4 linked regions of the Tamandua tetradactyla genome follow. The protein of the gene in region 1 interacts with the protein of each later gene in a pairwise test. Links are inferred from orthologs where the notes say so. Each region holds a gene or a part of one and is shown in the gene's direction. Other genes may lie near its edges. The genes, in order: SMYD1, FAM204A, ZBTB44 and BHLHE40.

What was found.
Region 2: the proteins of SMYD1 (region 1) and FAM204A interact in binary tests that used the Homo sapiens proteins (3 or more experiments, as listed by UniProt). The link is inferred for Tamandua tetradactyla from reciprocal best matches to the Homo sapiens genes SMYD1 and FAM204A.
Region 3: the proteins of SMYD1 (region 1) and ZBTB44 interact in binary tests that used the Homo sapiens proteins (3 or more experiments, as listed by UniProt). The link is inferred for Tamandua tetradactyla from reciprocal best matches to the Homo sapiens genes SMYD1 and ZBTB44.
Region 4: the proteins of SMYD1 (region 1) and BHLHE40 interact in binary tests that used the Homo sapiens proteins (3 or more experiments, as listed by UniProt). The link is inferred for Tamandua tetradactyla from reciprocal best matches to the Homo sapiens genes SMYD1 and BHLHE40.

Annotation. Positions count from the first base shown.
Region 1 is NC_135343.1:60,149,542-60,156,469, reverse strand, and holds the start of SMYD1 (histone-lysine N-methyltransferase SMYD1), read left to right. Parts: upstream 1-3,918; 5' UTR 3,919-4,061; coding exon of another isoform or gene 4,062-4,111; intron 4,112-6,928. UniProt on the Homo sapiens protein: Methylates histone H3 at 'Lys-4' (H3K4me), seems able to perform both mono-, di-, and trimethylation. Acts as a transcriptional repressor. Essential for cardiomyocyte differentiation and cardiac morphogenesis.
Region 2 is NC_135339.1:80,715,992-80,723,802, reverse strand, and holds the start of FAM204A (protein FAM204A), read left to right. Parts: upstream 1-4,798; 5' UTR 4,799-4,880; exon of another isoform or gene 4,881-5,192; 5' UTR 5,193-5,388; intron 5,389-6,492; exon of another isoform or gene 6,493-6,642; intron 6,643-7,811.
Region 3 is NC_135334.1:5,832,271-5,839,639, forward strand, and holds the start of ZBTB44 (zinc finger and BTB domain-containing protein 44), read left to right. Parts: upstream 1-4,346; 5' UTR 4,347-4,431; intron 4,432-7,369. UniProt on the Homo sapiens protein: May be involved in transcriptional regulation.
Region 4 is NC_135335.1:44,546,999-44,554,108, reverse strand, and holds the start of BHLHE40 (class E basic helix-loop-helix protein 40), read left to right. Parts: upstream 1-4,096; 5' UTR 4,097-4,175; intron 4,176-5,833; 5' UTR 5,834-6,084; coding exon 6,085-6,164; intron 6,165-6,337; coding exon 6,338-6,407; intron 6,408-6,668; coding exon 6,669-6,776; intron 6,777-7,110. UniProt on the Homo sapiens protein: Transcriptional repressor involved in the regulation of the circadian rhythm by negatively regulating the activity of the clock genes and clock-controlled genes.

The DNA of each region.
Region 1 (6,928 bases):
AGCTATTAATGCTAGTTACTAACCTTCCCTTTTCAGGAAAAGATTAGTATCTGACCTATGAGTTTGCTAAATTCTAACTATTTCACTAATACAACAATCTCAAAAATGAATAATGGTTAACCAGGTCATATTTCCAAATACAAAATACAAAAAAAATCAACAATTCATTAATTGTGAATACTAGCTACATGATTAATATTAAATGTATGTCTTTATTTAAACTCAGTCTTTGAACGCAATAATCCTAAGTACTCCGTGGCAAATTAGCTCAGGTCATGCTTGTAAAATTAGATTCTTGTGTAAATCCATTAGTTTTGTTTGGAGTCAAGACACATATCTTTCATCAGAAAGCCATCAAACACATGCCATTCCTTCCCATGGGTTAGTAAATGTGAATGGATCTGTAAGAACTATTAAGAAGGGGGAAAAAATCTCAGTGCTTATGTCCTAACATGTGATGAATACAGTAAGGGCAAGTTTAAGTTAGTCACTTTAATTCACATGCTGAGACCTAGTAAAGGCAGCAGATTTGAAACTAATAAACTATCATTAACGTCTCTCCAGATAGCCCGCCTCCCCAGCCTGTCTTCCCAGCTGCCAACATTAGGTTTACAACAGTGTGCTCTGGTGTGCCTGTAGCAAATAAAATGTCATGGGCAGAAAAACAAGGTACTCCTGAGAGGTTAGGAGTCTTTTACTAATCCATACGTAAAATCACATTTTCCCCCCAACCAATCTTTTTTTTTCCTTCTAATTTCACTACCAAGCACTAGCAGAGGCTTTTAAAGGGGCTGTCTGTGCCTAATTCACCAAACCATCCTCAATATTGAGCACAATACCTGGTACACAGCAGCAGCTGAATAAATGTTTTTTGAATAAATGTTAAGAGGGCTATTTGCTCCATTTTCTCACTGCCATTTAACTTGAATCTCTGATTAATATGGAAACAAAAGTAGGCATTTTTAGGCAATTGCTATGTAAATGCTTTAATGATTCAATAAATCAGAAAGGTCCTTCAACTCTAAATCTGAGTCTACTTCATTCCTTTTTTCCTTAAAAGAGGTAGATAAATAAGTTTTTGTTTGCTGCTGTTTTACTATGATTACTCAGGAATATCATGATTCGGTGAAAATTCACTGTTATGTCAAAAATATAAAAAACTCCATTGAATAAATTATTAAGTGTCCTGGAAAATTTTTTGACATCCTGACCATAAATTCTAGGTATGTATATTTCTTTTCGTGTAAGTCTAGCCATTTCGTATTTCTTCGGGTTTTTATTTTGAGTTTGTTTCCTATTTGTAAACTTTCAGTTTGTATTTCTTCCCTGCTTGTCAATTTCCAATCCTTACTGATTATTATAATAGTTTATAACTATTATAAACTATTATACCTATCACTATAGTTTGTGAAAATAGATTGGCAGATGCCTTCAAATCACTTTTAATGGTCCTATTAGGATCTTCAAAGTGAAAGTGGAACTGTAGTAACCGGAAGCATGATAATTCTTTGATATGTTTGGGATAAATCTTCTAACAAGGTCTTAAAGAAAAAGATACTGGCAAAGTACCAAGAAACATTTTTTCCTCTTCCTGTTTATCCATTATAACTGGCAATTATTAAAGGCTTTTATAAATATTGAAACTAAAAATATATTGAGTGTGTTAAGCAGTGTTAACATATGAAATATTTACCTAATTGCTAACTGAGTAGTTAACTGAACAGTTAAAGGATTTTAGCTGAAATACAGTGACAGGAGGTAATTTTTTAGTTAACTATTGTATTTTGTTTTTCAAATTCTAGCAAGTACTCTTAATTTGAACACAGATTTTACTACTCTTTGAATGCCATCTGACCACCTTATAGGTCAAAGTTCCTTATGTTTTATGAATTGTTGTTCTAGTACACAGCCATGCTATGGAAAGAAAAACAACTGGGAATTGTGAAATCATAGTTCACAATTTTAAAGCTCTAAGGGACCTCAGAGTGTGGATAGTTCCGGGTTTCTCAACTGCACACTACTGTCATTTTATGGTAGATAGTTCTCTGTTGTAGCTATCTTGTGCACTGTTGGATCTTTACAGGATCCCTGCCTTGCCAACGTGATGCCTGGGGCAACCACCAATCACAGTGGTGACAGTCCACAATGTTCCAGACACTCCCAAAGTTCCCGGGGTAGGGGGGACAAAATCACCACCCGGACATGGGCTAGTCCAATCCTCCCAAGGCAAAGATCAGAAAGTTTGGAGCACCTAGCACCAGAACCTATACTAGCCAGACTCCTCCAGTTTTCTCACTTGACCACCTTGAGGAGGTACAGAAAGGTTACTGCTAACATTGTGTGAACTGAGTTATTTGTCTTTAATAATTGCATGTATTAAAAGACATTATAAACAAACAAAACAAAATGTCCAGTGTGGCATTAAGCAGTTTTTCCATGAGACGCTGTTTCCAAATCTTCCTGTGATCCAGCCCTGGGAGCCAGACTGAGTTGAAGTCTTTGACACAGCAAGCTATGTACTTCGTTGGTATAAAACAAAAAACCCAGAAGATTTTACTTTTTATTTCAGAATACTAATCCAGGCTGAAGGAAGACACGAATCTAGTCTTCCAAAGGTTGCCTTCACTGAGAGACTATATAGAACACCTCATCGCAGCATTTTTAGTGAACGGCATTTATATGAAGTGCTTATAGAAAAGTTTTTAAGAGATTTATAATTGCTTTGTCATTCCTCCAAAGCGAAAGGTGTAAAAGTTTTATGGAGTAGCACACAGGAATGCCATATACCCAGTAAGAGGGTGAAAACTACATTATTTTATGGGTATTCCTCCAGGAAAAAAGCATCTAAAGTTTTCAATAGTCTTCTGGTTTCCGATATTTCACTGAGTCAAAAAGCAACATCAGGACACAGTGTAAATACCAAGATCTGCAACTGGATTAAGTGCCACCACAGCAAGCCATTCCCAGGATTGCTTCAAGGCCTTACGCAGCCGGAAGACTGGCAGGTATTTTGTAGAAACTCAAATCTTAGTTTATCTGAGATGGCCAAGAAACAGAGTTTTGTGTTGGGGGTAATGTGTTGATGGATACAGAGGAAAACTCAGATCATTATCAAGATGGCCTGTAAACATCAAAAGCTTGTCTTTACAGGGCCATACCTCAAAAGGCCAAGGAACTTTCCCAAGTGATACCAACCTTCCCGAGTGATACCTCCGTCTTCCTTCCGCCCCGGGACCCTGCAAGTCTAAAGTGCCCATATTACTTCCTACTTCTCAACTCCTAACTCACTGCTCCTGGAGCCGCCCCGAGAGATCTTTACTTTTCAGGGTGCGACTTGTCCTTCTCTCTCTCCACTCAGCCACCGTTCCCTTCCCCGACTCTCAGAGGCTCAACCTTCTCCGGGCCGCTCGGGTCCCCCCAAACCTCGGCCTCCTCGCTGCGCTGGGCGCCCCTCTCCGAGGCCGGGAGACGGGGAGGGGAGTGGAGGAACCCCGGCCGCGCCCGGGCCGGCCATGTCGCACGCTCGGACTCGGGGCGCGGCCGGGCTGGAGCGGGGGAGTCAAGGGGCTGAAGGCCGGGCCGCCCCCGCCGCCGGGCGGGAACTCACCTTCTCCGAGGCAGGGGCGGGCGTCTACAAACTACTGTCCCCCTCCCCGCCAACGCCGCCGGCCGGGAAGCGAGCCGGGGTGGAGGTGGCGGAGGCAGGGACAACCGCTGCCGCCGCCACCGCCTCCGCCGCCGAGCAGGCGGTGCGGGACGAGGAGGCGGAGACTGTACTTCCTGAGGGGAAGTCGCCGCCACCGGCCGCGGGTGAGTGGACCGCACCCACACCATGGCGGCGGGGCGCACTAATGCGCGTGCGCGGGTCGCCGCACGGCCGTGATGGCCGGAACGTGATTTCACATCGCCCCACCCCCTTGCCCGCGTCCCTCCGCCTCCCCGTAGCCCTGCCCCTCGCCACCTCCTACGGCCGCCCCTCGCCCCGCCCCTCAGCTCCACCCCTTTTGCTGCCCCGCCGCCCCTCCTCCCGCCCAAAGGATACGCTTGGGGCTGCCGGTTAGATGGCGCGGCTTCTGGAGGAACCGTGGAGCCTGTTGAGGAGAAAGAAGTCGTAAGTCCGCGGAGCTCACCTCCGAAACAGTCTCAAGAAGATGTGGTCCCCTACTTTGTCTGCTTGACCTTTAGCACGAGAGTAGGTTAAGCATAAATCTTGGTCTTGGTGCCGTCCTTGTTCATCATTGACCTGTAAATGACCGTTATCCCTCACATACTCTCTCTCGCACATACACGCACACGTATAAGTACGTATATGTATAAATCTCATCATTGCCAACGTGAAATAACTAAGCTGCAAGGCAACAAAGGGGTCTTAGAGTTGCAATTCAGAGAGCACGGATTCAGACAGCAACCCCACCATGTTCTGTCTTGGCATTTCCAGGCAAGGGTTTTTAAAGGAAGAGAAGATTACCCAAGTTGTTTGTGGTTGGTCATTACTGGGGGTACTCCAGTTGTCCTACAGGGTAGTTAACTGAGTTCTTTGTCTTATGGTGTGTTTATGGTGCCCCAATATCGCTAGTGTTTTCAGGAACATTGTTACATGGGGCTTTGTGTTAACAGACAGAGGCCTGACCAGCTCTTGAGACACCGGTGTTTCCAAAGAGAGAGTTTATTACTAAGCCTGCAGGGGATCAGATGGCCTGTCAGCCCCAAAATCTGTCTCCGTAAACTACAGTGATTCTGATAGTTTTACAGTATAAAAAGATGGACAGGTATTAGGATAATGAGCACAGTAGCTTCAAATGAAGTAATTAGAGGTGATCTAATTATTGAGCATATGCAGGTTGATTATATGCTTAGTCATAGAATGTATGTAAGAAAGTGGCGGCCTTAGTATGGTGATGGGCATGGTTTTTAGTATTAAAAATTTTTAGTATTTAGGTCATTTATAAGCTTAAAGTCTAAACTACTACACATGTCAGGCAGACCATTTTAGTTAGGTCCAGTTTCAGTTATCAAGATAAGTTTGGAATTGGGGTGGTTACTTCTGGGTTGACCCAAGGCCCTTCATTAATAAACATTAGGGGCTGTCTTTAGTGATCGTAAGACTCTTAAAATTGAACTGGATAAGTGGGTACAAGTGAAAGTAGCCTCAAAGTCCTTATAATCACAAGGGCAGCTGGATTATAGGTCAGAGATTTCAGGTGTTTCCCTCTGTCTACTCGAATATACCAGAAAGTGAAAAAGGAATATCTATATAATGATTTAGTAATCATAATCATTCCTTAAATCTTAATTTAACTTCTCATTTATATTTGCATACTGTGGCAGTATGTGATATCTGTTTAGATCTGTGTAAGAGTTGTCTCTAAAATGACCTCCTGACCTTCAAAATGACCTCCTGGCTCTATCTTAAATCTCTTAGCCACAGTAACTCTTTTTTTTTTATTAATTTTTAATTTTTAAAAAAATAAACAAATGCAAACATTCTTAACTTATGATCATTCCATTCTACATATATAATCAGTAATTCACAATATCATCACATAGTTGCATGTTCACCATCATTATCATTTCTGAAAACATTTGCATCAATTCAGAAAAAGAAATAAAAAGACAACAGGAAAAAATTCATACATACCATACCCCTTACCCCTCCCTTTCATTGATCACTAGCATTTCAATCTAAATTTGACATTTGTTCCTCCTATTATTTATTTGTATTCCATATGTTTTACTCATCTGTTGATAAGATAGATAAAAGGAGCATCAGACACAAGGTTTTCACAATCACACAGTCACACTGTGAAAGCTGTATCATACAGTCATCTTCAAGAAACATGGCTAATGGAACACAGCTCTACATTTTCAGGCAGTTCCTTCCAGCCTCTCCATTACATCTTGACTAACAAGGTGATATCTATTAAATGCATAAGAATAGCCTCCAGGATAACCTCTTGACTGTGGTTGGAATCTCTCAGCCATTGACACTTTATTTTGTCTCATTTCACTCTTCCCCCTTTTGGTCGAGAAGTTTTTCTCAATCCCCTGATGCTGAGTCTCAGCTCATTCTAGGATTTTTGTCCCACGTTGCCAGGAAGGTCCACACCCCTGGGAGTCATGTCCCACGAAGACAGGGGGAGGTCAGTGAGTTTGCTTGTTGTGTTGGCTGGAGAGAGAGAGGCCACATCTGAGCAGCAAAAGAGGTTCTCTTGGGGGTGACTCTTAGGCCTAATTTTAATAGGCTTGACCTATCCTTTTTGGGGTTAAGTTTCATATGAACAAACTGCAAGATTGGGGGCTCAGCCTATTGCTTTGGTTGTCTGCACTGCTTGTGAGAATATCAAGAATTCAACTTGGGGAAGTTGAATTTTCCCCCTTTCTCACCATTCCCCGAAGGGGACTTTGCAAATACTTTTTTTTGGCAGTGAGTTCACCTGCCAAGTTGGCTTAGAGAGAGAGGCCACAACTGAGCAACAAAAGAGGTTCTCTGGGGGTGATTCTTAGGCATAGGTATAAGTAGGCTGAGCTTATTCTGTTCAGGAATAAGTTTCATAAGGGCAAGCCCCAAGAATGAGGGCTAAGTCTGTTGATTTGATTGTCCCCACTGCTGGAGAGAATATCAGGAGTTCTCCAAATGGGGAAGTTGAAAATTTCCTCCTTTTCCCCCGCCCCCCAAGTCCTCCTAGGGGACTTTGCGAATACTTATCTGTTCTCTGCCCAAATTACTCTGGAATGTATCAGGGCTTCACAATAACCTGGGCAAACCAACAAGATTCCATGTTCTTATGGTATTCAGCTAAAGTCAGCATACAAGATAAATTAGGTAATATGCTGCCCAAAATGTAAATTTAGCACCAACTAAACATCTCTCCCTTTGGTCTCATACAGAAGTTAAAGTTTTAAAATGTGGATGATATTGTCCTTTACC
Region 2 (7,811 bases), on another chromosome or scaffold:
CACCCCACCCTAGCTGACCTAGTACGGCTTTGTTGCTGTCGCTGTTTCAAATGTATTGAGGATGTGGTGCTGAAGGTGGAAAGGAGGTAACAGGTAACATAGAACATGTTTGTGGTGAGTTTGAAAGAAGTAAAGGTATTTTATGGAAGTTCATGGTAAAGGACATATCCCTAAGGGTTGGGGTGAATTCATAAAATGGAATGCAGAATATAAGTGGAAGTGCTCTAGGTTTTGAAGGATGAAGAGGAATTTAACAGGTAAAGAATAGTAAAGGTACTCCAGGCAAAGAAAATACAAAGTGCTAAATTCCATCCAGCCTACTTTTCCAATCTAAGGACTTCTGTAGGGCTTACTTATATCATAGATCTTATATTTTTGTAATTATGACAAAGAATATATCATTTACAACAATGTTATATGTATCAATTAGACTACAGACATCCAGACAGTTCATATACTTCTTTTATATCCTCTATAATCCCTAGCCTGATGCTGAGCATTGGGCACAAATCAATCTGATAACATATCAAAATTATGTCATCCTTCATTTGTATGTGTAAGGGAAGGAAACTAATATTTATTGAGCATTGACCACATACCAGGCTCTGCCTTAAAAGCTGTATATGTGGCCCTTCATTAGAGAGATTAATCAGGCAGTGGGGTGTTCTGGGAGAAGGTTTTAGGAAAGGGGACACTAGCATAGACTTCAATGTAGCAAACGAAGAAGAATCAAAGAGGTACCTTTGATGGGATTGCATCACTTGCTAGGTACTGAGGAGGAAGAGGCGACACTTTTCTCCTGAAGCCTCCCTTTTCATGAGCTCCCACTAGGTATATCATCCCCTAGGGGCAATGACGTCTATACTTTATTGACTGCACTGCATTGGGATTTATCCAGACCCTCCTCTTAAAGAGGTAGTTTGTGACAGTGGGAAGAACTTGAACTTTAAATTCTGGTGAAACTTCCCCACCTTGTGTGATGATTTGGAGTTGTATATACTCCACAAAAACATGTGGAAACAAAAACATCTTAAACTGAATCCCTCTCCTGTGGGTGTGAGCCCATTGTAAGTAGGAACATTTGATGAGGTTACTTCAGTTCAGGTGTGGCCCAGGATGGGGCTTAACCCTATTACTGGAGTCCTCTATAAAAGAATGATATTCAGATAGAGAAAGCCGCAGAGTGAGCAGCCAGAAGCCAAAACAAATAGAACCCAGGAGAGAAGGGAGAGGCCAGAAGAGATGATTCCCATGTGCCTTGTGAAGTAGCAAGCTGAGGGCCAAGGATCACCAGCAGCCAGCCCCAGAATATGAATCTTTGGGAAGAAAGCATTACCTTGATGATGCCTTGATTTGGACTTTCTCTTAGCCTCAAAACTGTAAGCAAATAAATTCCCATTGTTTAAACCAAACTGTTGCATATTTGCTTGAGCAGCATTGGAAACTAAAACACCATGGTTCCACACTGTACTAGTGTAACATTATGCTAGCTTCTTAAACTCTCTAAGCCTTAGTTTATCTGTAAAATGGACACAATAATAACTACCTATGTTAGCTTGCAAGCTGCCAGAACCCAATATACCAGAACTGGAAAGCCTTTTTAAAAGGGGGATTTAATAAGTTGCAAGTTTGAAAATGTCCAAATTAAGACACCAACAAGAGGTTACCTTAATTCAAGGAATTCCAATGGGTCAGGAACACCTCTGACAGCTGGTCTCTTGCTCCTGGGCTCCAGTGCCTTCAGCCCCTATTCCTGTAGGGGTTGCTCACTTCTCCAAGGCTGGCTTTCATATCTTGGCTTCGGTTGGTTCTCTCCAGGTTCTGGCTTGCTTAGCGTCTCATGGCAACATCTGCTGGGCTCTAAGCATCTCCAAACATCCGTGTCTCTATTCTCCATGTTGTCGGCTCTGCTCTGAAGTTTCTGTTAGCTCTGAGGCTTCTGTCCTTCTGTTGTTTCTGTCTCTCTCCAAAATGCTTCCTCTTTTAAAGGATTCCAGTAATCTAATCTAGACCCACCTGGAATGGGTGGAGTCACATCTCCATTTAATAAAATGCTAATACCCACAATAGGGTGTGTCACAACTCCGTGGAGTTAATCTAATCAAAGGATTCCAGCCTACATGACTGTATCTGGATTAAAAGAAACGGCAGCCTCCACAGTATTGACTCAGGATAAAAGCATGACCTTTCTGGGGTTCATAATACCTTCACACCAGCACACTACCTCACAGGGTAATGATAATAATAATAATAGATGCAAAGTACCTAGCATGCAAGAGTGATCAATAAACCTCCCTCTTCTGTTGTCCCTCTCTCCCTCTCGTGCAACCTATTTGACCTGAAGAATTTGAAAGTAATAGGCATGAGCAGTGAAGTAAAGGTATTTTTCTTTGGTCACATTCTATGGTACAGACATTTCTCTTCCTCAAATGTCAAATCTTGCCCATGTCATGGTGTTAGTTTTTCAACATATTCCATGTAAATTAACATTGCAGATATGTCTGTTTGCAAAGTTTAAAAACAAATCCAGACAGAGAAATTGTCATTGGTTAGTCATGAAGGAAATTTAGAACTCCCTGGTTTCTATTTTTTTTGCATACCTTACTAAATCACTTTTTCTTCAATGCAGAAAAGAGGCATTTTGTACAGTAGGGAATTAACTATTCTTTCTTTCTGCAAGAAGCACATTTATATGTTCAGCAAAGGTATATTTACTTTATCCAACTGAGAAAAATTTAAGAGATTTCATTATATTTGGGGGAATTTTTCATCAATCATAGAGTGAGCAGACACCAGAAAGTACTTCACAATTAATCTTTTAAAATATGGCGTGACTTGGAATCTCTACACTAAGAAAAAAATATAATGAAAAATATAATGAAAAACTATTCAGAAACTATAATATTTCTTGGCAAAGAAAAACTGCTTTGTGATTTTTTTAAATACGTTTGAGAATTTAAATGAAACTTACATGTTTGAAATTAGTGCCAGATGCAACACGGTTAAAGCACAATTCACTAGCTGCATCAGGTATTTCAGTATGATTTAGTTAAAGATATTCAACAATTCTCTGTTTCATAGAAACCTTACAGATCCAAGTATTTCATTCACAAAATGCATGGCTTGGCAGGTTTCCAGGACAGGAATTTGCTGGAGGGAAAGTAAATTTATTGCTTAAAATAAATCAAATGACTGATGTTTTCCCAGAAAACTGGCAAAACAATAATATTCAAAAATATAAAACTCTTACGACCAGGAGCCAAAGAAAAGGCTGAGCTCTTTAAGTTTATTATAGGAATTCAATGATGTCATAGAGTCAACAATCAGATATACGAAACTTTCCCAGTTTACACTGAACACCTGATTTTAAAATCCATAGATTTGAAGGTTGGACTTTCCAAAAATCTTTGATATGAAATCTGGAATTTTTAAGTGTTTGGAGTGCTTATAATTATATCCCTCCTCTATCCATTGCACATTTATATGCAATAAATAATGAGCATACTCTCATGGAATATATTTAGAAACAATCTAGATCATTCTTAGACTAGCTAATATTTGCCTTTCAGCCCTCTTTCCCCATTCTAGTGACACTTCTACCATCACCGGTAAAAGCCCTAATACAACATCTACAAAAGCACTTTCATACAAATCCTTGCTCTTAACCCCTTAACTTTTTAAGGATTTGGATTCAAGGGAAACCCTATTAAGAAGCTGGATACATTATTTAGCTAGGAGGATTTCATACCGACCCTTAAATTATTTATCCTTGCTTCCACTCTAGAATCTCCAATCAGAATGTGAGCATGAGTGGGACTTAGTTATCTAGCCCCAAGCCTGTGAGTTCAGGTTTTACTGATGCTGGGGTTTTAGGAAACCCCACATCTTGGCACATCATCTCGAAGACATAGTGAGCAGTTAAATGATATGCTTTTATTGCTAATAACAACAGTAACAACAAATAGCTAAGACTTGAAATTACTGTAGGACCGGTAACGTACTAAGGATTCCACGTGCATTTTCTTATGTAATCGTCATCACACTAAAAGATCGACAAGTCCTCTCGCCAATCGCTCCATCTTCTTCCAGAAAACAATCTCGAAAAATTAAAGGATTTCTAAAATAGCCTCGCCTCCCATCACTATCACACCCCTCTTTTTTATTTTCTTCACAGCCTTTTAAAACTTGGGTTTTTTTTTTTTTTTTTTTTTTTTGGTGCTTATTTTCTATTACCTCCGCTCCCCGCTCCCACCCCCCACCCCGACCTAAAACAGTGTTTGGCGCGGTAAAGCGCACTTAACTTTTGGCCATGCCATACAATTCAAATAGTCAATCAAACAGCTGGGCCTCCACCAGACGGTAAGCACTTTCAGAACAGAACTGGGACTTTCTTAAACAAAGGATGTCACGGTGCCTGGTACAGAGCGGACGCTCACTAAATATGTGCAGAAAGGAGAGGAGAGGCAGAAAGGAAGGGAAGGAGGAAAAAGCAAAGGAGACAAAAAGGCTGAATGAATGAATGAAAACGGTTCAGAAGGGCCTACAGAGCGTCTGCAGCGATTCTCTATTCCCGTGGGATGAAGTCAGGTCAATCTCTAAACCAGCACTTTCCCCACCCAGACGCACTGGCATAGGGAGGGAAGGAAGTAAGGCCAAAGCCTACAAAGACGCATAGATGAAAGGAGAAAACGGGGGAAAAGAGGAGGAAACAAACAAGCAACCTCCTTTATTCCAGTCTAGGAGTGCGCTGCGAGGCTGGTTGCCATGGCGACCTTGTAGCCAGAACGGCCCCATCCTATTGGCTGAGATGTAAGAGCCAATGAGAAGGCAGGATGTTGACGGCGTCTTAAGATGGCTGCTAGGCGGCCGGTTCCTAACTGGTGAGTAGGCCTTTTGCCGGGATAGTTCCGGGCCCTCTCGAGCTTCAGCGAGACAGGTCCGGAAGTTACCAGTTCGGCAGACGAGGGACGAAGTTGGGCAGGTTCACAGCTTCTCGGCCGAGGCAGGCTACAGAAGCCCTCAGCCCGGGCCCACGGGGTGGTCGGCGGGTTTGGCCTCGGCTTTCCTCGAAAGGGGCGTCGCGGTGCTTTCCCCAGCCTGTTAGTGGGAGAGGGTTTCTCCGTCCCACCCCAGCCAGAGGGAGAGGGGGTAAGGTTCTCGGTAGGGGAAACAGCTCATGTTTACAATTGCAGTAACCCGGGAAACACCTACAGTTATTGGAATTGTCAACTGCCTAGAGATTCTACACCGGAATCTGCAGCGTTCTTCCCGTTTGGGGGTTGAATTGTGGCACTGCCGCCGGAGAGCCTGCAGAGTTCCGGGTTGTGCAGCCGAGCAGGAAAAGGTGTATTTTTCTAGAGCCACCCTCTTGCAAAAGTCTTGAACCTTGTAAGTATTCTCAGCGACATCCGATTTAAAATGATCCTTGAAATGTTATTAGTTAATTGTAAATCTTTGCATGAAGGGTCTTTGGTCTGAAGAAGTGTTTGTCCCCGTTTTTCCAGGCCTTGACTAGACAAGCAAGTAAGCATCCCCCTTAATTAGAACAAGCATACATGCAGAAGTTCTGCTAAATAAATACTTTGTCTGGGTAATCAGGCTGGTAACTTAGATTTGAAGTCGGGCCTGTGATTCAGTTGTTCTTTCTGTGTCTCTTTGAGAAAAGAGAACTCATTTCATGAAAGTAAATACAGCAGTTCCATTAATGTTAATATTAATGATACATGCTTTAAAATATTATAGTTAAATAATTAATTACAAGTCACAAAAACTGATTATTGTTTAACATTACTTAACATGATCAGATTGATGGGCGGGTAATTTACGATTGTTATGCAAGTAAGATTAGATTCAGTTCAGACAAGTTCAGATTTCTGTGATAATTTCAACTTGGATACAAGTATGAATCAGACAGCTTTGATGAAAATTGAATTGAGTTTCTGGATTCTTAGAAACAGGAGTCATTCTTTGAGTTGCTCAGATTATATCTTTTGGGTTTTGGTTATGAACAGCTGTCTGATCTTCCAGAAAATATAGTATTCTCACTCAGACCTCTGAATGTGACTTTGATGGATGTCACTTAAATAAGCATAGCAATTTACATAACTGTCTGTTCTTAAAAACAACTGTGCAACAACAATCTAGCGTATTCTTCAGACCTGCTCTCAAATCTGTCTTCAAGAGTATAATTCTACTTAGACTATGCTTTCTAAAAGCTTATCATTTAAGCCCATAGCCTTCTGAACATTGTGTAAAATAAACAGAGCACAGTGCATTAGGTCTATCACAATGCATTAAGCAAGTCAGTTACTCATCTGTAAAAGGGGTATAGATGTTAATTCCTAGTGGAAGGGTCATTGAGAGGATGGATGGTAAACCAGTGCCTGTCACATTGTTTGTATGCCATATGTAGTAGTGACCTGCTTTTGCTTCCTCTTTCTGCTTCTGTTTCTTCTGTCGTAGCTGGGGTTTCCTTCCCTTCACTTTCTACAGAGCATCTGTTTGAAGTGCAGAGTCCTGAAAACTAGCAATTTTGGCGGTGGCTGCTAGGTGGAGGAGAGGAACCTTAACTACTGGGGTCTTGGGGCTTAATCGGTATTGCATCTGACTGGGAGAGCAAGGAGTGTTGCAGCAAGGATTGAGGTGACAGTGCATTTGGGGCATACATAATATTAAGATCCATAAAGAAATGTTTTAGAGCTCTAAAGCATCTCACAGATCATCTGATCAAACCTTTCATTTTATAGCTTAAGAATGGAGACCCAGAGAAGTGTAGCGGGGACTGAATGATTAAATTAAAATTATTTGAGTTACATGCTAAAAACTGAAAGCTTATGAATTGATATATGAACTGTTATATGGGCTTAGCTATAATCTGCATTAAAAAATTAAGTTTCTATCTATTTCTCTGTGTACTCCGTGTCTTGAGAATAGCTGAGTGAATTTTCACCACATTTAAAGGGTAATTTGGAATTATCTGCTTTAAAATAAAGGAATATACTTTGAAAGGCAGAAAATCATTCTCCAGAGCAGCCAGAACAGGAATAATAAGAAACCTGACATGGTGCCAACTGAAAATGTATGAATGATATGTACATTCTGTGACTAGAAAGACTGTTTTCAAACATGACCCCAAAACAAAAGTCACTAAGCAGCCACCCCCATTGACTTATTTGTGGTGGAACTGCTTGTCACATAGACAGCTCCACGGTGCGGGTACGGAGTGAGTGGAAGCTGTTATTTATGACCACTGAGTTGCCAATGTGTTTTTTTTTTAAAATCACAGAATAACACATCACTTTAAAGATTTTCAGGAATTGAGTTCAAACATATACTGTATTTGGATTTTGCCTTATTTTATGGATTTGGACTTGAATTCCACTTTTTAAAGGTTATTTTAATTTTTCTTTTTGCTGTGAGCACACGCACATAGCTCTCATACCAGACAAATGTCTTACTGAAGACAATTCTTAACACCACTTCAGTGACAGATAAAAATAGATAATTTTGAAAAGTCCAGAAATCATTTGAAAATGGATAACTGATTGAGGACTAATGAGGAAAGCCATGCCCTATTCAAGGCAATGGAGACCACTCCATGGGGTGGCGCCCATTTGGGTACCCAGGACACAGACTGTTATCCTGCTAGGATGCTGAAGCAGAGGTCCAGTGGGAGACCTGTGTCTGTGAGGTACATGCCTTTCAAAAGCAATCAAAACAGAAGTCCAGGCTGAAAGATATTTGACTGCTGATGGACAGAAGCTTGCCACATGTGTAGAATAGCCGCTCCATCAGGTTAGGGATTTTCGCCT
Region 3 (7,369 bases), on another chromosome or scaffold:
CCTCATCTAAATAGGATCTTTGAAGTTCCCACTTACAAATGAGTCCACACCCAAAGGACCAGGGGTTAGCATTTAATATGTCTTTTGTGGGCGACTGTTTGTTGTAGCCCAGGGCCTGGACCCCCCTACATGGCCTATAACAAACCTGCTTTAGCCTAGAAGGGAAGAACATAACCACGGATGGAAAAACAGCATTGATTGTATCTTAGTCTTAAACATTAATCTTAGTAAAACATCAGGTCTTAGTCCCCTTTAATGATTATACTAGATATCCAAAGTCCTTTTACTGCATGGAATGTCTTTGTTCTAAAATCATGTATTATTCCTTGCACCCACCCCAACCCTGTTCCTTGCTTAGCACTAAACTTCCAGACCAGCTGCCACTGGAGAACCTCTCCTCCAATAAATCTATGTCTACTTCTGTACCTGGCATGTTTCTCACGTGCTGTGGATGAACTTGGTCTGGGCCCAAACACAACTCAATCTACTACACAGGGTATCTGTTATTCTATATGGTGTAGTTGCATTGTGTTGCTCAACTGGGTAGAGGATGAAATAGAAACACCAGAAGTGCAAATTGAGGGTAGGAAAGAGTTTAATTTTTGCATGTGTCCGCACACACACACGTGTGTATGTACACACATGGGCTGGGAATATGAGTCTCCTGTATGGCAGGCGAACATTATATCACTGAACCACATCCATGCGCCTGAGATTAATCTTTTAAATATAGTTGGAGCGATATGATAATTGAGCAAGGCTGGTACATGTGGCATGAGAAACTCTCTGCCTTTGGAATTGCTCAAGTCAAACAAGGTTCTTTCTCATGAGGAGAAAACATTCTTTCTCTGGAAGAAGTTTTGGACTAAATAAGTTTCCATTCAGCTTTAATAGTTAACCCTGAGAAAGTGCCATCTTTTTCTGAATTTGGTCCCCAAACAGCTACAGTTGAAATAAACCTGTTTGACTGGAATTTGAATTCCTCCAAATCATCCACAATAGGTTAATAATTAAAGGTTCCTCATACTATCTACCTTTGTATCACCTGTGTTCAGAATTCTGGTTTCACAAACTCCTCCCAGGAGTATTATTTAACCTATGCCAAAGAAAGGTGAATCTATTCCAGCAGCCCAACAGCAAGTCTCTACTAGCTGGTAAAAGAAAAGGTAGAACGCAGCAGGCAGAAGCCCCAGAAACCGACCCTGCCCAAAGCCAAAACAGAGACATGGCTACCTGCAATAATCTTTGTATATTTTCTCACACCCTCTCCAAGCATCTAACATTGTTTGGGCCCTTGAGGGCTCCACAATTAAGGATGAATTGAATCTCCAGATCTGGGCGTGGAGTGAGAGTAGGACACCAATTTCAAAAGAAAAAGGAAAAAAGAAAAGTACTAAAGGGAGGAACCAAGTGAAGAGATGTGCCAGTTTGAAGCTTTTATGTACCCCAGAAAAGCCCTGTCCTTTAGTCCTCATTCAGTATTGCTGGGTGGAATACTTTTTGATTGTTTCCATTTGTGGGTGGTAACGTTTGATTAGATGGTTTCCATGGAGATGCGTCTCCACCTATTCAAGATGGGGTTGCTTACCAGAGCCCTTTAAGAGGGAACCATTTTGGAAAAAGCTTAAGAGCCACCAGAACCAACAGAGCCCCTGCAGCCAAAGACCTTTGGAGATAAGAAGGAAGACACCCCTGGGGGTGTTCCTGAAACAAGAAGCCAGGAGAGAAAGCTAGCAGCTTTTAAAACTAAAAGAGGAGATGAGAGAATACACTAAGGATGTAAAGAAGGATTTTATAAAAGCTTAACAGTAGCTAATTTTTCTTGCTTAATTTAGCTATTTACATATATTTTAGCTTCTGAATGATAGAAATATCCAGCAAAAGCATTTGTGTCATTTTATATTCACTGCTATGCATTTGGTGTGAGTTAAGAATTGTAAAGAAAAGAGTTATGGGCCCCATCAGGCTAAGAAAAACAACCCGGGACTTCCCAGAGGCGGTCATCTGCTTCTTGCAACAGTGTTGGTTATCTGCTTCTTGCATGAAGCAGCTCCTGTGACTCATGCTTGAAAAATGTTTGTTATCTGCTTCTTGCAAAAATGTTTATCTGCTTCTTGCAAAAGTGTTTGTTATCTACTTCTTGCATGAAGCAGCACCTGTGACCCATGCTCGACCCTCACCCCCCTCCTCCTACCCCTTAAAAGCTTCCCCAAACCCAGGCTCGGGGCTCTCTGTTCCTGCGCGTTCAGTGAGCCCCACGCATGTGTGGTAAATAAACCCCTTTGGGTGTTGCATGAGAGAACGTCTCTTGGAGTCCTCCTTTGCGTGGCAAAACTCTCGAATTCTTACAATGTGATGGTATTGTGAGCCATTGGTCTTACACTATGGATGGATTGTATGTGCGTGAAGATTTCTCAATAAAATTTTTTTTAAAAAATCATGTAATTCCTACAGTATTGTGCAAGTCTTGACGCTGCCAGAAGGCTGTCCTGATTAATAAGACACAGAAATCCTGTGTATAAAATTCAGAACTATTTAACATTATTTAAACCGGCGATTTGCATTTAAGAAACTATAGGGTCAATACCTAGAGGCCGATCTTCTGCATTTCATTAAAATTGAGTTACTGGTTCATTTCTCTCCTTGGGCAACTCATTCCAGCCGTAAAGTAAAATCAGGAGGATAAAAGAACAAACCTCCCAGTAAAAAAGAAAAAAGTAAACATAAAATGCTAATATTAGTACAATGATTATTATCATTAAAAAACAAAAACAAAACTCAGAACACAAATGCCTGGACCTAAATCGGACCTTTCTGATTTTCCTCGTTTGTGAAATGGGAATAATAAAGATGATCGTGGGAATAACAATTAAATTCATGTATCAGTGTTGTTGTGAAGACTAATTAACATCCTAGTTATTTGAAAACTTGATGGAAACGTAAAGGAGGATACAATTAGCAGGTTTTAAAAGTTGTCTTTATTTCTCAAGCAGATTTCAAATGTTACGATTAGGGTGTTAGGGTACCTGGTTGCTAGTCTCTCACACTGAGAATTAATGCGAAATGTCGACAAGTGTTTCAGAAGAGTAATTCACTCGGACTTCAGAACGTCAACCCACTTGGAACAAAGCACTTGAGAGAGAAATCTTTCTGTTTAAAGGCTGGAAGCTGGGGAAAACAAAAGATGCAAATGAAGACAGCCCGGGGCGCGTCTGGCTACCAGGATCCCACCCTCGCACTGCCTCGAGGGTCCGGGCAGGCGCCCTCCCCCTGGGCGTCTCGGCGGGGCAGCCGGGACGGTCCTTTTCATCGTCGGGTCCTGGCCCGGAGGGGCCGGCCAGATGGGGGAAAGTTCGGATCCAGGGACTGGGGAGTCTGAACATGGTACACGCTCCCCGAGTCCTCCCCAAGCAGTACCGCCACTTTGGGGTGCCCAGCAAATAAAGTGCCGGTGTCATCTGAGGATGAGGCGCGGTGGCGGAAGGCATGGGGGCAAGCCAGTTCTCGGACCCCTCTCCCGGCTGCGGGGTCGCCTCTGCACGGCAGCGTTTCCCTAGGAGAGGCTTGACCTCCCCGGTGGGTCCGGGCTGTGCTGTTCCGGGTTCAGCCCCGCAGCAAAAACCACTGGAAGAAACCGGCCTTTCTTTGCTTAATTCATAGGGAAGAAGTGCGAGCTGCGTGCAGAACGCCGAAAAAGGCGGATCTTACCAAGTGGAAAGCAAATTGAGCGGAGGCGGGACGAGTTGGGGGGCGCTCCTACGGCACGTGGAAACCCATGTGCGCGCGCACCCGGGCAAACACACCGCCCGCGTCCCGGCTCCGCCAGCGAGGCCTGACAGGCAGCCCTTCTGCGCCTGCGCGATAAGTCCGTGCGGCCGCCCCGCCCCGCCCCTCCAGCCAGCCCCGCCGCCGGCGCACAGCATTGTGGGACACAAACAAAGTGCCCCCCAAGCCGGCTGGAGGGAGCCGGGCGGTAGCAGCGGCGGCGCAGGGCCCGCACGAGCGGCGGCGGCTCCCCCTCCCCAACCTCCCCTCCCCTCCCCTCTCTCCCCTCCCCCCCTCCCCACCCCGCCCCGCCGGGACCACGCGAGCCGTCGCCGCGCTCCCTGCGGCCACCCGCCCCCACGGCCGCCGGTCGCGGCCCCCTGGGCCCTCGCTCCGCCCCTTGGGCCCGCCGGCCGCCGGGGCTGCGCGGCCACCCTCCGCCGCGCGCACTCCCCGCGGGGACGCGCTGGGCGTCCCCGCCGCCATGCCCCAGCACCAGGCCGCGCACGGGCCTCGGCGCGGCGGCCCGAGATAGGGCCTCGGCCCCCGGGGGGGACCAGGAGCCAGCCGCGCGCCCCGCCCTCCCCCGGGCCGCCGCCGCCGCCCGGGCCTGGCGGGAGGAGGAGCAGCAGCAGTAGGCCTCCGGGCCTGGCACCGCCGCCGCAGGTAACGGGAGGGCAGGCGAGCGCGGATGGCCGGCCTCTCTCGGCGCTCGGTCCCTCGGGCGCGCCCTCGGCAGGGCTGACACTGCGCGGGCGCTGTAGGGACCGGGGAGCCTTGTCTGTCACCCCCCCCCCCCCTCCACGCGCACACAGAGACTCTCCACGATGGCCTCTAACCCTTGAGGCAGGAAACTGGTCTTAGCCCACGCGGTTCGGGGGAAATTATCCCGATCTTCAGTCTGCGCACCCTGATCCAAAGGTTACCGCCGCTCACCTGGGGGGATTTTTAGGTGGGAGCCCTTGACCCGACTCCCCCCACCCCCACTCTGCCACGCTCCTTGTCTGGTATTGGAAAGAGGCTGGCACTTTTTTGTTGTTGTTTGTTTGTTTTAATCACACCTTTTTTTCCTGCTGTACCTGAAGATCATCCTCCATCTAGTCATTTTACTGCCGGCCTAACCAGAGCAAGGGGTTTCCTGCGTTTCGTGAAGTGACAAGTAACGTTAGAAATGATGAAATTGCATCCGTGTGAGTTCTATGAACTCACCGGAATTTAATCCAAATTTAGTCGAAAACCCAATAAATGTGTACTTTATTGGAATGGATCTATTCAATGAAGACAGCGACTTAAAATTTTTCAACAAGGGCGTAGATGTGCGTTGGAGTCAGGAAAACATTCTTTAACTTCACTTTTCTTAGTGTTTTCTTCGTATGTAGGCTACTACCAAAAGCAAACTACACAATTTGAAGCAAATACTTTATGTAGGTGACGAGTTTTATAATTTTCCTTTTTGTCTAGGGTATCAGTTGAAATTCTGAGATTTAAAAAAGTTATATGAATCTTCATATCCCGTATTATTTTACTTTAACTTCCGGTGGTTTAATACTACTTTTTTTTTTTTCTTAACATGGGCTGAGGCACCGGGAATCGAACCCGGGGTCTGCGGTGTGGCAGGCGAGAATTCTGCCTGCTGAGCCACTTGGACCGCCCAGTACTTAATTTTACCTTAAATGTGGTTTCTTTATCTTGGAATGTGAAAATAATGAAAGGAATGTTTTCCTTTATTCTTGTAGTTTATGATGATTGCAGTCATTATGGAAATTGTTTACTTGTATGCAACGTTGTGCTAGGCATTTTACTATGGAATCTTATTTCTCAGAGCAAGCTAATGAAGAAGGTATTACATTTTATAGATGAGACAAAAACAGTGATGTTAAGTAACTTGTTTTAGGCCACACAACTAATAAGTGAAAGAGATGAAATTTAAACCCAGAAATAATTTCAGTGTAGATAGGTGCACTTTCTACTGTATCTCCTAATAGGAGTTACAGGTATCTCCTAATAGAGTTAGAATGTTTTTAAGTTTATTATGAAAATTTTCAGCTGTACGAAGGCAGGAAAAAACATGCAATTATTACCCACCATCAACATTGAGGAGTACCGTTTTTGCTGCATTGTTCCCCCCTTCTTCTGTGTGTGTAACCATTTGAAAGTAAGTTGCAAACATCATGACACTTATATTTCAGCATGCATTTCCAAAAAGTAAAGATGTTCTCTGACCCCAGTATCATTACCACATCTATCAACATTAAGATTCCAATCCCTATCCAAATTTCCTCATAGCAAAAAGTTTGTCTCCTGGCTGGATTCAGTTGAAATTCATGCGCTGTATCTGGTCTCTTTTTAAAAAGAACATACTCACTCCCCACTGTTGAGTTTTTGTTTTGTTTTGTTTTTCCTTCTCGGACATCTGAGATCAAAGCAGTTGACTTTTGAATATTGTGGCATTCCCACGTTCTAGAATTATTTCCTCATAGTATCACTTAACTTTTTCCTTTATCCTCTGAATTTGTGTTAGCTGGAAGTTAATCAACGAAGACTTGATTAGCTTGAAGTAAACTTTTTGGGGGCAAGAATTTTTATAGGTGATGCTATTTACTTTGCATTACGTGATTTCATCTGTCTTTATTGAAGTGGTGACTGCCAGATATCTCCATTATCTAATCACCCTGGTGTGATTAGTGTGTAATAATGACACCAAGCCCATAATCCGTTTATAGCTACCTTTTGTTCAATGATTTGAGTACCCTCAGTTATTTTATTGGAGATTCTCTGTAGGAGAATTTTCTTTTCTCCTTTCCTTCAATACCTGGGCATATACTAAAGGTCTTCCTGAAATGCAGGTTAAATGTTTAACTTCTTCCCTTTCATCATCAAAATTCAGAGTCAAGACCAGGGTAATAGTCAACCTCTGATGGTGGCAAACAAAAATTTTTTTTGGTGGAGGGGGCGGGGGGTGTTCATATCACTATGTGAAAGGCAAACTCGCCAGAAATAAGTTGGGAACAAAGGAATTCAGGCAGAGGCTTTATTTCAGAAGAAACAGGGCCGCCGAGGCAGTGGGCAGTGGGCAGTGGGCAGTGGCAGCGTTTCAAGAGAGAAACAGCTGCCCCGGAGGTGTCAGGAGATAGGGTTTTCATGGGTTGGGGTTAGGGTGTTGGGGCAAAGGTTAGGCAGGTTCTTATTGGCTAGTTTTCAGAAACAGGGGGCTAAGTTTGGAGTTGTCAGCTTTCCACTGGTAAAGCTTAAAATTTAAGCGCTGCTTTAGGCATGCAAGGTTGTAAATGTCGGAGGGTGGATATTGAGTAAGGAGAGTTTACTGCAAGAATGAATATGCCAGAGGGTGGAGGTTGAGTAATGTGAGGTTATCGCAAGAGGGCGACTGCTGGAGGGTGAAGGAGATGCGGGCTGGTGTGAATCGGGGTGAGAGAGGCTTTCTGAAATATTTGCCAGGGGTAGGTCATGTTATAGGGGAAGGGGTCCTGTCCTCCAGGCCTAACACTGTAGACACAAGGATTTTAATTTCTTTATTAATTGTTTTATAGCCATTTGCAGTCTTGGTTCTTTTTGATGATTAAATTGCACCTAATTTTGCTGGAAG
Region 4 (7,110 bases), on another chromosome or scaffold:
AACTACACATAAAACTGAAAATATCGTTGAAAGAAATTAAAGAAGACCTAAATAAATGGGAAGCTATATCCATTTCATAGACCAGAAGATTCAATATTGTTTAAGTATCTTTTTTCCCTACACTGATCTATAGATTCAATGCAATTTTTCTTTGAAGAAAGAAACAAGCTGGATCTAAAATTTATAAGGAAATGTAAAGGACCTGTGAAGACAATCTTTAAAAAGAAAAAAGCTGGAGAACTTACACTACCCAATTTAAAGATTTCTATAAAGTTTTAGTAAACAAACAAAAGTATGAAAACCTAGACAAAGACGTTAATAGAACAAAATAGAGAGTACATAAATAGAACCACACTATTATCTAATTGGGAAGGGAAAGTCTTTTCAAATGTTGCTGGGACAAAAAAAAGGAAAAAAGAATCTCAACCTCTTTTTCACTCCATATACAAAAATTTAGTTGAGATAGGAAAGACCTAAATATAAGAACCACAAGTATAAAGCTTCTAGAAGAAAATATAGTAGAATATTTTCATGATCTTGGGGCAGGCAATTTTTTTAAAAAAAGACAAGCATACATGAAATAACCACAAAAAATCAATAAATTGAACTCTATCATTAAGAGCATCATTAATAAAATTAGTGAGCAAGGCATAGACTGAGAAAAATATCTGCAGTGTATGTTTCTATCAAAGGACTTGGAGTTAGAATATATAAGGAACTTCTGTAGGTCAACAGTAAAAGGATAAGGTGGCAAGGCACAAAGCCAACATACAAAACTGGACTGTGCTTCTATATACAATAAAAAGACAAAATAGCTTTTAAAGAGGGTAAAAGACTTGAACAAATACTGCGTAAAAGAAGATATATAAATGGTCAAGAAGCATACAGAAAAAGGTGTTCAACCTCATTAGTCATCAGAGAAATGCAAATTAAAACAATACACCATCAATTCACACCCACTAGAAAGGCTAAAATAAAAAAAATCTGTCCAGACTAAATGTCGGTGAGGATGTGGAGTGACTGGAATGCTCATATACTGCCTTTGGGATGTAAAACGGGACCACCTTCTTGGAGATGTTTGGCAGCTCACAATAAAGCTAAGCATGCATTTAACCCATGACACAACAATTCCACTCTTCAGTATTTATCCAAAAGAAATGAGAACATATGATCATAAAAAGAACTGTAAGAGAATATTAATAGCAGCCTTATTCAAAGTAGCTCCTAACTGGAAACAACCCATATGTCCCATCAGCAGCAGACTGGATTGTATTATATGCACACGAAACAAACTGTATTATATGCATACAGTGAAACACTCAGTAAAAAAAAAAAAAAAAAGAATGATCTATTAATCCAAGCAACAACATGGAAGAATCTCAAAAACAGTGTAAGCAATGGAAACCTTACACAAAAGAGCACATTCATTTATATGAACTCCAATACAAGGCAAAACTTATTCACTGTGATAAAAATCAGAACATGATTGTGTTGGGGGATAGGTGGGAGGCTGGGGGTGGGGGCTTTATAGATTGGAAAGTACCATGAGGGAACTGTCTGGGATAGTAAAATGTTCTGTATCTTGTTTTGGGGTAATGGTTACACAGATGTATGCATTTATCTAAATTCACTTAAGATCTGTCCCTTTAACTGGGTTAGTTTCATCCCGATAAAACAATTAAAAACAGTTTTTTAAAAAGATCAGAGAATGAGGAAAGTGATTATACAAAGGAAACAAAGTAAGAATTAATAGGTGCTTTCCTGAAGAGAGACATCTAAGCCATTGAATCAAACCAGGACCAGTGGTCGAAGCAGTTTCATTTAATATTTTTATATGTACTCTTGTAAGATCTTCAACTGTGCAAATGCTACTGATCTCTTTCTTGGGGGCGGGGGGGCGGTGGTGGAACCAAAAATACAACACTGTCTCTAGTCTAGAGCAGTGTTTTCAAATTGCATATTAGGATCTATTGGTCAGTTGTGAAATCAATTTAGTAAGTTAAGACTAGAATATTTTTCTTTTAATAAAATAGACTGGGAACTATAAGAATGCATTGCATATACCAAGGGGAAATACTGTTTTGTGAATTTTTTGTTTGGAATCCATTGAACTGGCTTTTCTTTAAATGAGCAATAGTTGCTCAGGAATAAGGGAGAGAGAGTAGTGGCGGCTTTTTGCTATAGCCCAACCAAGCCTCGGCTTCCCTCTGTGTAAATGTACATAAGATGTGTGTGCATGCATGTGTGCATGGGTGTGTATTTGCGTGTGTGCTGACTCATGATGTAAAATGAATTTTTCATTGTGGGCTGTGATAAAAAATATTGAGGATCTGTAAATGAGCAAAAAGTGATGTTTGAGCAAGAATGATGTGGGCTCGTGCAGGAGGGGCGGGGGTGCTGTGGGCTCTTACTTCCTGCTCGGGAGGTATCAAGGAGTCCCTACAGATGATGAGCCCCACTAGGAGTGAAAAGAGAAAAATCTTGTCCTTCCCTTGTACAAAATTACATTCTTTCCTCACTCCAAAAAGACAAAACAGAGGGTAGGGCTACAAAATGGCAGGGTTACCCAGTGCAGTTGCTTGCTGCTACACTGCACAACTCCAGAGGGTGCTCTTACACACACTGAGTGTGAATGGCTCCCCCTGGAATTGAGCAGTGTACAACCTGCACAACTCTGCCAGGATTTCAAGCTCAATAGACCTGAACACTAGTCCCAGGTCTTGTCCCAGGCTATGTAACCAGGGACAGGTTATTTAACGTCTCTGAGCGTCCGCTTCCCTAAGAGGTATATTACATATCCTTCTGTTCTAGTTCAGTGTCTGTCACATAGTGGTTCTCAATAAACATGTGTTAAACGAATGTAAAAAGGAGCTAATATCTGTGCCTGCCTTATAAAGCAGTGGTGAGATTAACATATATAAAGTTTTCAGTATACAGTCTAAAATTAGCATACAGAATCACCAAGCAAGTATCTACAAAAAGTGAGGGATTAAAAACATTAAGATTATTCAGGATGGAAAGACGAATGCTGGAAAGGAAATGTTTTGTTTTAATTAATAAAAAATAATTATAAACTATGGAGGGGACAGAAACAGATTTTTTTTTTTAATCCAGATATGGTTGATCTTTGGTGTGTGTGTGTGTGTGTGTGTGTGTAGGGGAGTGGGGATACTTCTTGAGGCTTGGAGCAAATAAAAAGTAGGCAATGCATACAGTTTATCTTCAATTGTAGGAAAGATGAGGGCAAAAATAAATATATTAAGGTCAAAGAATTCTAAAAATGATATTGTCATGAGCTATGATTAAGGAAACTGAAATGTTTAGGTTCACACTTGGCTTTGGGGGAGGGTGGGCGTGACAGCCAGGGGACATGTGTTTCTTCCTCTCCTAGTACTTACTTCCAGGTGGAAGTGGTTTTGACGCAGTCATGACAGCTCTTCACCCTTATTAAAGTCACACGGTGGCGCGGGTCACCGGTAGATTGAAAGCGCACACCCAGGACTACTGCAGCCCCCGCTCAGCCTCTGGTCCTGCTGCTCCCCTCCAGGCGGGAAATCGAGCTGCAGTCATTTTCTCCAGAGATGGCTGATAAGAAAAGTACGTTCCGGGAGGGAGGGATCGCTGCAGCCCCCGAAGTGAGGTCACGCTAGTTAGCAGTTAGGGAAGGAGGCATTTCTCACACTTGCTAATAAGTTTGACGCTTGTGAAACATAAACAGGAAGTGGGAGCTCTCCAAAGCGACCTGAAGGGTATACACCACCAGCTTGGCCAACGTGTGAATCCCAGTTCTCTAGGTTGTCAAGGACACTGCCAATTAGGACTTCCCCCCACCCCCTCCCGCAACTGCACCGGGGCTATTCTTCACCCAATCCCGGCAGTGACCCCAATTTTTTTTCCGTCAACCCTTCCCACAGTTAGGTCACTCAGCAGCGGGGTGCTGGCCGGAGGTGCGGTGGGAAAGGCTTACAGTCATCTCTCAACTACCCGAATTTTCAGGGCAGGGGAGCGCAGAGGTCAGTGAAACCCCAGCCAGGCCTTATTTTAGTCATGAATTTCCACTAGCTCCCTCCTCTGACGATGTCAGCGCGGCTCACACCGCTTGGTTGGAGTTTCAGCCGTTTTCCCTGCTCCAGGCTGAATTAGAAGGTCACGGACACTGGACTTTTCCGGGGCAGGTAGGCGGGGGCCTCGGGCGGCCCAAGTGAGATTGCAGAAGTATCCGGCCGCTGAAGGACGCCTTCGGGCCTCTTGGTTCATATTTTTAAAACGGCATTTAAAAAAACCTTTTTTGTGTCCTTTTTCCTCGGTCAGTGGTCCCAATATAATTTTCCCCGGACTCCCTTCCCCTCATTGCCCAATTTATCCTCCTCCCGGTGGTCCCTGTAAGTTCCAGGGCAGTGTTTGATTCACCTTCGCTGTCTCTAGCAGGGCATAGAGTAGGTGGCTCAATAAATGTGCGTCGCCTGAAAGAATGCTAAGTTCTGATTCTGATGGACGAATAGATTTTTCTTGTCTCTTTCCTCCTGCCATGAGTGCTGACCGCAAAGAGCCGCACTGAAGTTCCTTGTAGGCGGGAAGACCGCCGGCCAGGGCTGGCACCCCGCGTCCCCGGGGTCTCCGCCTCAGGGCCCGCGCACAGGAGCGCGTAGCCTGCGGCGCTGCGGCTCGAGCCCCGGCCACGTGAAGCGTCACGCCCTGCGCTGCTGCAGGGCAAGCGCCGCCACCGCAGTTGTGTAACGTTGCAGTCGGAGGGGAGGAGACCCGGGAAGCCTCTGCTCGGGAGGGGGCAGAGGGAGGGAAGGAAGAGGGGAAGGAGCGCAATGCGCGGCGCCGGGTTGCTTTCCGCGCTGAACTAGATGGAGTCGGGGGCGGGGGCATCGGGGCACCCAGTGGGATGCGTAAGTGGGTGCCCGCCCGCCGGCAGGCTGTGTCCCGGAGCAGAGCTCCCGGGAAGCAAGGGGCTCCATTCGCACACCCTCCACGGTCAGGTGCGCGCAGCGTGCTCCGCGGCGGCCTCGGCTGCCCTTGTGCTTGGCCGCCAGCCCGCTTCCCATGGGGTGACATCCGCCCCGCCCCTCGGTCCCTCCCCACGGCTGGCGATTCCAGGACGCGGGGCTGGGGGGTGGGGGCAGGGAAGCTGGGGCGCAAAGAACCCCCAGCGTCTGGAGAAAGGAGGGGGTCCGGCGCTGAGCGCCGGTTCCTCGGAACGGGCGGGGCGGGGGAGAAGGAAGAGGGTTGGGCCGGAGCGATCGAGGGGATATTCCTCTCCTGGCTTGAGTCAGACGCGGGCGGATCCGTCCTCCCCCGTTCCCTCCCGGGAGACGGGAACTTACTTCATTTCCCTGGGGCAGGTTCGCCCACGTTACCAACCCTCCCCCAGCTCCCCGGTCCCTTTCGCGCCCCCCACCCGGCTGGGCAGGACCCGGGCCACACTGCCACCCCCTCTTCTGGGAAAGGCGGCCGCAGCCGCAGACACCTGGGGGCCGGGGTTGGGGGTGGGGGCTCCCTCGCAGCCGCGGGAGCTTTGTCCAACACGTGAGGCTCATGTGATGAAGTCGGGGGAGGGCGGGCAGGTCGCTCCTTCCCTCCCCGGCAGCGGCCAGACGTGCCTGGAGTCACAGGGTAGAACACGTAGCTCCAATCCACCCACTCGGCTCCCTTTTAACCCAGCCCGCCGCCTCTCCATTACTCCTCGGCTCGCCCCACACACGCACACACACACACACACACACACACACTCCGCCCTAACCGTCTCCCCCCCCCACCCCCACCCCGCGCCGTGCTCCCTCCCGCCTCCCCGCCCGCCCCACTTCTCATTCACTTGGCTCGCAAGGCGCAGACGGCACTGGGAGCACACACCACCAGTCTGTGCGCAGAGCCGGAGCCAGAGACCGCGGGAACACCGGGCCATGCACGCTCCCAACTGAAGCAGCGCCGCGAAGTCGCTGCTCCTGGCAGCCCGGTGGATTTCAGAGAGCTCAAACTCCCAGAGGAGAGACCTTCGAATCCCCCTCCAGGACAGTCTTCACCCCGACGCCCGGCTAGCGCAGAGAGGAGCGCGTAGTGGCCCCGGCTCGCCGCGCCATGGAGCGTATCCCCAGCGCGCAACCGCCCCCCGCCTGCCTGTCCAAAACGCCAGGACTTGAGCCCGGAGACCTACCAGGGTAAGTTGGCACCCCTTGACCACTTCAAACCCTAACTCCAGCCCTACGTTCTGCGGCGTTCTTTTCTCTCAACTTCGAGCACCTCCAGTAGTCCTGGGGTTCTTGCTCCCCCAGAGTGGCCGCAGCCCGTGCGCAGGCAAACTCACCACCCTTCTTTGCACCTCTCCCTGCAGGATGGATTTTGCACACATGTACCAAGTGTACAAGTCGAGACGGGGAATAAAGCGGAGCGACGACAGCAAGGTAAGCGCATCGTGCCCCTGAGGACCCGACGCCCTAGCCCCTCCTGCGTTCTGAGCTTCCAAGAAAAGTTTTCTCGCTTTGAGGTTAGCGGGAGGAGGGGATGCGAGATGCGGGCTCGGTGCCTCTAGTGAGTACTTGGGGGGAAATCGGCAGGCGGTGATTCTGGGTTTCGATTCTACTCCCCTGCACGACCCTTCTCGCGTCCGGGGTGCTTCGCATCCCGTTACCCAGGCGCCCACTGTCTCCCCGTGCGCCTTGCAGGAAACCTACAAACTGCCGCACCGGCTCATAGAGAAAAAGAGACGCGACCGCATTAACGAGTGTATCGCCCAGCTGAAGGATCTCCTACCCGAACATCTCAAACTTACAGTAAGTGAGAAGCTGGCCCCTCTCCAACCCAGCTCCTCTGCCGCGAGGGCGGGCGGGGGTGGGCGGGGGGGGGGGGGGGTCACTCGCCGCCTGCAGGCCCTGCGGGGAACTGCAGACCGGACAGCCGGATTCACGGGCGGTGGCTCAGTGTGTTCCGTCCACCTTTCCCAGCCCTGGGATTTTCTGGAAGCCTCATGCAAATGAGGTGAGAACCACTAGGATGTCTCCAAATAATAGGCTCCAACATTGGCTCCCCTCCATTTTTTTAAGAGTTTAAGACTTTCCCTTTTAGTGCTTTTCAGGGTTAGCTAGTTTTCCTGACTTAAGAAGCAGA